2 linked regions of the Callithrix jacchus genome follow. The protein of the gene in region 1 purifies or fractionates together with the protein of each later gene. This does not show direct contact. Links are inferred from orthologs where the notes say so. Each region holds a gene or a part of one and is shown on either strand. Other genes may lie near its edges. The genes, in order: ESS2 and FRA10AC1.

Region 1 (3,821 bases):
GCTCCAGGATCTACAAGGGATCAGACGTGGGTAGCTGTGCCAGGCCTGCCACATGGCAGTCCCTCATACAGAGAGCCACTGTTGTGGGCGCCAACCTCTCCCTGTGGCCTACACAATCCCCACAACCCACCATGACTTCCCTCTAAAAGCCCCTGGAAAGCCCCCAACCCCACCTGCCCTCTCCAGGGGCCAGCACTCCTCACCTATCTTCATGTTCCTCCCAAAGCCATGACCTCTGACAATCTCTCAGGAAAAAGAGTGTATGTTTTAGTGTTTCCCTGATTCTAAGAATGAACATCTCTGTCTTTATTGGCCCTGTCTATTTCGGGTGCAGATTCCCTGTGTGTCTGTGGCCTAGTTTGCTCTCAAGGGATTGATTTTCCCTTTCTGCTGCTGTCACTCAGAAGACCCTCACCTGTGTCAAGTCAACTGCGCTACGCCGTGCACATGTGTTTTTAGTTATTTGCGTTAGTTTCATTTATAATATTTTCTGCTGTATTTGTCATCTTTGTGATTTCTTCCTTTTCCTTTTATGTTTAGAAGGTTCTCCCTAACTTAAGATTAGACTACAGGCTGGGAGTGGTGGCTCACACCTGTAACCCCAACACTCTGGGAGGTCAAGGTGGGAGGATCACTTGAACTCAGGAGTTGGAGACCAGCCTGGGCAACATAACAAGACCTCATTTCTATACAAAAATTTTTAAAAATTAGCTGGGTGTGCTGGTGTGTGCTGTTAATCCCAGCTACTCAAGAGGCTGAGGCTGGAGGGTCACTTGAGCCCAGTGAGCTATAATTGCACCACAGCTCTCCAGCCTGGGCAACAGAGTGAAACTCTGTTAAAAAAAAAAAAAAAAAAAAAAAAAAAAGGAAGAAGAAGAAGCCAGGTGCGGTGGCTTATGCCTGTAATCCCAGCACTTTAGGAGGCCAAGGCAGGCGGATCACGAGGTCAGGAGTTTGAGACCAGCCTGACCAACATGGTGAAACCCTGCCTCTACTAAAAATACAAAAATTAGCCAGGTGCAGTGGCACATGCCTGCTGTCCCAGCTACTCAGGAGACTGAGGCACGAGAATCACTTGAACCCAGGAGGTGGAGGTTGGAGTGAGCCAAGATTGTGCCACTGCCCTCCAGCCTGGGTGACAGAGTGAGACTCCATCTCAAAAAAGTAATAATAATAATAATACTTAATAAATAAAATTTTAAAAATCAAACTAAATATTTGCCATTATTTCGTGGTTATTTTATGGTTATTGTTTTTACAGGTAACCTTTTCACTTTTCCAGAATACATGCTGCTACGCATCCGAAGGACTCAGTGTGCTTCATTTCTACATACTCTGCTATTCAGTGCAGTTTGACTCGCCGTCTTTCTCAGCCCCTAAGTTCTGACCTGACTCAGCATCCTTCATTTCTACATACTCTCCTATTCAGTGCAGTTTGACTCGCCGTCTTTCTCAGCCCCTAAGTTCTGACCTGACTCAGAGTCCTTCATTTCTACATACTCTCCTATTCAGTGCAGTTTGACTCGCCGTCTTTCTCAGCCCCTAAGTTCTGACCTGACTCAGAGTCCTTCATTTCTACATACTCTCCTATTCAGTGCAGTTTGACTCGCCGTCTTTCTCAGCCCCTAAGTTCTGACCTGACTCAGAGTCCTTCATTTCTACATACTCTGCTATTCAGTGCAGTTTGACTCGCCGTCTTTCTCAGCCCCTAAGTTCTGACCTGACTCAGCGTCCTTCATTTCTACATACTCTCCTATTCAGTGCAGTTTGACTCGCCGTCTTTCTCAGCCCCTAAGTTCTGACCTGACTCAGAGTCCTTCATTTCTACATACTCTCCTATTCAGTGCAATTTGACTCGCCGTCTTTCTCAGCCCCTAAGTTCTGACCTGACTCAGAGTCCTTCATTTCTACATACTCTGCTATTCAGTGCAGTTTGACTCGCCATCTTTCTCAGCCCCTAAGTTCTGACCTGGATCACGGTTTGTTTCAGAACTTTTTTTCTGTCAGCCTGGAGGCTCAAGAAGCAGCAGCAGGTAGCACCTCGAAAGCACCATGGCCCTTGCCTTGTGCCCACATCTGACAGCACAGCATCCTCTTCGTTATCCCTCCTGCACGTCTGCCTTGGTTATGCTTGCATCCCAGACAGAGTTTAGAACCAAGGTAACCCAAACCTCTGCCCATGTTTTGTCTGCACGTGGGCTACCTCCACTGAGTACTCTGGGGAAAGCCCCGCAGTGGTACAGGGAGGCCTGTTGCATCTGACCCAGCCCACAAAGAGCCTCCCCTGGTCTGTGCCGAGCCTCACACACTCCACCCTGACCACTCCTACAACACCAGGCTTGAGCTGTGCAATCCAGTGTGCCCCAATCGTGTTCTGTAACCAGGGGCTTGCTGTGCAAGCACACAGCCACATCCCATGGCCCTCAGGCCTGCAGAGCTCCTGACGTGACTGTGACCATCCTGCCTCATTCATGAACAGTACCTGGCCTCTAGGATTCAGAAGACCCAAGCCACTCTCTACCTTGGTGTCTCAGCCCCTATACCCCGAAATCCCTCTGTAACAGGCCCACCTACCCACCCACACCTGCCTTCAGCACCCTGGCATTCAGAAAAGTCAGCACTCTGCCTGTCAGCGGCTGGGGGTCAATCCCAGTGCTCAATCCTGGGCCACAGGCACTCAGGGCTCCAGAGGCATCCACACCGAGTTACACACTGTTCCCCCATCGCCACAACCCACCTTGAAAGCTGGGCCTGGTGTCCTATCCACGTAGGGGGTTTCCGAACCTTCAACTCTCAAGGGTGTGTTCTCAACCTCCCCCCAGGTCATCATCGGGGACTCATTCACACCTGCAGACAAAGAGCCCAAAACCACTTCAGGACAGAGGACTCAGCTAGGGTCCCCACCGCCCTCCCCTTCAGTCACATCCAGTTCACCAAATGTGCATCCCAGCTAATAAGAAGGCAGGCAGCTAGCCCTCTCTCCTTCCCCTGGACTCTGGAACCCTGGCACCTCCATCCTCCAAAAGGGAAATGCCAAGGTCCCAGTGGGCCCGAGGAGGGCTCAGGGCCCTACAGCCACATGCTTAGCCTATAAGCCTCTGGGAGGTCTCCCCCAATCACTCAGGAGGAGACACTCAGGCCTTCTAGGGCTCCCAAACCTCCTAGAACCCCGTGCAAACCGGCAGTGCCTTCACATGCCCTGACCTGTGACACAGTACCAGTACCCAAGAGCACAGAGGCCAGACTGCAGGAGGGGTACCCACACATGCCACGGGACCACCTGAGTCTCACCTGCCCCCTGAGGTGCCAAGCCTCCCTCCCTGCAGTGCTAGGCAGACTTAGACTCCTAAGCACTGTGCACACACCCCCGCCTGTTGACATCACAGTGAGGACAAGGACAGGACACATCACCCCAGGATGTCTCAGGTCAGGTATAGCCCGCCTACGGCCCTGAGTAGCCTGGACACCTGGCCTCTAGGGCCTTGTACAGACAGGAGACGAGGTCCCTGAGTTACACAGGTGTGGGGCAGGCCAGGTTGAGGCCAGGAGTAGCCAGGGCCGACTGAGAAGCCCACCTCCCCCAGGGAGTCAGCAGTAGGCCCACTTGCCAGTGTGTACTTTTCCTCACCAGGGGCAGGAGAAGGAGTGGCAACAAATCCAAATCCACCCACTCGGGGGGACTCCTGGGGGATCAGCTCCTTGCCATCAGGGCCCACCTTGCCCTGTTTGTGCTGGAACAAGCAGAGAGGCTGGCATTAGGGGGACCACAGCCCACTTGACAGCTGGCTGGTGGGCAAACATGAAAGAACATGCTGGAAATA
Region 2 (3,821 bases), on another chromosome or scaffold:
AAATGACATTTAAGAGCTTAGACCTGAAGGATGAGCTGGGATAGAACTGGGAGTTTTAGGAAGAGAAGACACAGCATCCATATAACCCCTAAAATTGAAAGAAGCTTGGCATTTCCAGAAACTGAAAGGCTACATGGGGGGAGTGTGAAAGTGAGGTACGGATTGGCAAAAAAACAAGACTTGTATGGTACACAAGTTCTGGATCACACAGAACCTCTTAGCTTTGTCCAGGATTTTGGTTACCAGCCTAAAAACAACAGGAATCCATTGATTTATGGAGACTGGATTAAGAGGAGGGAAGGTGGGATGGCAAGACAGTGGTGGAACCCCTAAGGAGAATGTAACAGTAGCCCATAAGAGAAAGTACAGTGCTTTGTAGGTGGACAGAACCTGAGAAATACGTACTCTGTGGGGAAAATTCACAGACCTTGATGACAAATTAAACATAAGTAATAAGGAAAAAGTAAGTATCAAGGATAACCCCCAGATTTCTGATATTAGTTTTTAGGTCAACATAAGTGTCATCTACTGATGAAACACTACAGGAAAAATATCTATAAGGAAGATCGCGTGCATATTTATGCTTAATATGAAGGGTCCAATCCCAGCCCTGAACCTGAGTATTCATCTACCCAATCTATTCTGATTGTACTGAGTAACATTTTATAAAGCAGAGATGAATTCTTTCGTTTGGAATATGCAGTGATTAACATGGTATCACAGTTGTGATAAGAATGAACATATAATACAATGAGGGCAACAAATTTCTTAAGTGATGTTAATGTTTTACTAGCATATAAGTTTTTAAAACTCAAAAGATATTTTAATTTTTATTGGTTAAAATTTACCTTACAGTAGGAAATAATTAAGATAGAGACAAAAAGGCATTCTGCAACAAATGCTACTCTTAAGCAATTAAAATAACAGTATCGTCCTCTCGCCATCTATGAATTTTATGAAGTCTAAAGCTTGGTGACACCATATACTTGAAGCTATCGGAGTAGATGGGATTACGAGGACTTGTAGATTTAACCTTTGTCTACATAATGATGATGTGCAAGTAAATGTTTCTAAGAATGCAACCTATCTAATGACCTTCATAGCTGGAGGAAGAGAGCCCTCTCCTGTCCAAATATTATATTAACATTGGCTTGAATCTAATTTGATTATCAACTTTATTAAGGGCTAAAAAAGCAACTAGAAGTACTTTCATAATAGCTAATATGTGCCAAGTATTATGCAAACTGCTTAATGAATTATCTCATTTCAACTTCTGAACAATTCTAAAAGGAATCATGACCATTTTACACATGAAGGAATTGAGTCTTAGAGGGCTTATGGACTGCTGAGGAAAAAGCAAGCAGTTGATTAATAAACTTGAATTTAATAATTATTTACTAAGTATATGTGTACAGCACCATGCTAGGTTCTGAGAGCACAGATATATGTCAATCTTTCTCATTTCTAGAAACTCACAAACTAGTGAAAAAAAATCTGTAGACCATTATAAATAAAATCAGTGTTATAATTTTATATTGATTTATAGATGATAGACTGTTTAAAAGCACTGTTCAAAATGCCTTTCACATTCTTATTTGAATCTCTCCAATAAACTTGCCCAGTATGAAGGCCAGGTATTCGCCTCACCCCTATATACATAAGAAAAATAAAGCAGTTCAATAACTTATCCAAAGTAACAAGTCTGTAGGTGACAAAGGCAGGAATTAGAAAACTACTGGCAATATTATACTATCTGCAAAAAATGAACTAAAATTAACCCTTAATTAACTTACAGGAGTTCTTAAAACTTAATAGCTAATATTAAGTAAGTCACTTTAAATTCATATCTAAATTCTCAGCCAGTTTCCTTTCAACTCCCATAAAATGAAATTCTAAATGCATTCACCAATTATATGAATGAAATACGGCAGATTATATTTCATGCTCATGAATACGAGTAGATCCCTTATCTTAATTTCCTTTTACCTTTATCTTTTTTCTTGGAAACCTCTTCTGCAGAAGATAATCTGGATTTTTTATGTGATGACTCTTCACTATCATTTTTGGTTTTATCTTTTCTTTTCTTTGACTTGATTTCTTTTCTCCTTCATGTTAAACAATAAAAAATTAAAGTTAACTTTTCCAACTGACCTTTTCAAAAATAAAAACCAATAACAAAAACAAACATCAGTTAAAATATTTATTTTTTAAGTGTAATTCATATAATAAGGAAACTTAAGTGAATCTGTGAATATTTTAGGCTAGTATATTAATTAAAACCATTCAGTAAGATAATGAAGTCTAAACACTGAGACAAATAATTATTTTCTCTAAGTCCTGTATCAACTATAGTAAATATAAATTATAATTGTATTTGTTTCCTTCTTTCTATATTCTATCACTGAGCCATTTAAAACAAAATTATAAAAACAAATCTCATTTCTCTTCACATAATCCATATCTATCTACATGTTAAAAAAGCACAAACAAGATGAAACTGCTATAACAGCTCTAAACTACCAGTAAATAGAAATTTCTTCCTTTAAGAATAAAGGAATATAGTAAAAGTATATGGAATGAAAATAGAAAAGGCTTATTGTTAATGCATATATTAACATCAGGCCACTTATAATTTATACTCTTACTGTTGCAGCTTTATCTCTTATAGGCCACGTTTACAAGGTTAGCAAGCAATTAATTTTAATAGGTTAAGAAAAGAAGTACTAAACAGTAAAAGGTGATAATGCTGAAATTGGGACTGGCGAGGAGGATAGAGACAAAGAGAAAGATTACTTTCAAAATACTTGCTTAACAGATTTTCCAAGTTAAAGTGCATATACCAAATGCTATAATAGTATTTAATGCAGTAACCACTCTTGCCTCTTTTGTAAGAATCATTTCCATTTTGAAATGAAGCTCAAAAGTCAAGGTCAAAATAAATCTCTGGTTTCTTTAAGTATCATCGATGGGAAAGGAAAATAAAGGTTTAGGCCATTCAAGTAATCTAAAAAAAATCCTGGCTGGGTGTGGAGGCTTATGCCTATCATTCCAGCACTTTGGGAGGCTGAGGCAGGAAGACTGCTTGAGTCCACAGTTCAAGATCAGCCTGAGCAACAAAGGGAAACACCATCTCTACAAAAACTTTAAAAAAATTAGCCAGGTGTGGTGACATATGCCTGTAGTCTTATCTACTCTGGAAGCTGAGGTGGGAGGATCACTTGAGCACAGGAGGCTGAGGCTGCAATGAGCCATGATCACACCACTGTGCTCCAGCCTGGGCAACAGAATGAGACACTGTCTCAAAAAAATAAAGAATAATGAAAATAATAAAAATAATCCTGCCAATTTTAAGAATTAAAAATATTATTTAACATTTAACAGCTAAAATACTGTATAGACACATTTATAACAAAGCTGTTATTTTTTGACAAATCCATGTGATTGAAAACAAAGAAAGCCATTTTAAAACTAATATGCTTATGTATATATTTTATAAAGTTGCAAGAGTTGAACTTTTAACTGTTATTTAGGGCATAAAACCTGACCATCGCAAAGGCAAGTCGCAAACATTTAGTCTGAACATCTTCAATGCCAGGCACTATGGCAAGAACTTTACATGCATTTTCTTTTATTCCCCAAATGAGGCCTTAGTAGCCTCATTTTTACAGGTGATAAAATTAAGTCTTACAGCGGTTAAGCTGTTTGCCCAAGAAGAAGCCGAGTAAGCCAAGAAGCTGAAATTAAAAACCCAGGTCTGATTTCAAAGCCCATGATCTTAAATATACTGCAGGACACTGGTATTCCTACACATTCATGTGGCA

The links.
Region 2: the proteins of ESS2 (region 1) and FRA10AC1 purify together in Homo sapiens (co-immunoprecipitation; 3 studies listed by BioGRID and IntAct, counting the BioPlex papers as one, with this or other methods). This does not show direct contact. The link is inferred for Callithrix jacchus from reciprocal best matches to the Homo sapiens genes ESS2 and FRA10AC1.

Annotation. Positions count from the first base shown.
Region 1 is NC_133502.1:210,762,639-210,766,459, forward strand, and holds part of ESS2 (splicing factor ESS-2 homolog), read right to left. Parts: intron 3,732-3,821; coding exon 3,629-3,731; intron 2,848-3,628; coding exon 2,738-2,847; intron 11-2,737; coding exon 1-10. UniProt on the Homo sapiens protein: May be involved in pre-mRNA splicing.
Region 2 is NC_133513.1:86,416,857-86,420,677, forward strand, and holds part of FRA10AC1 (protein FRA10AC1), read right to left. Parts: intron 2,106-3,821; coding exon 1,987-2,105; intron 1-1,986. UniProt on the Homo sapiens protein: May be involved in pre-mRNA splicing.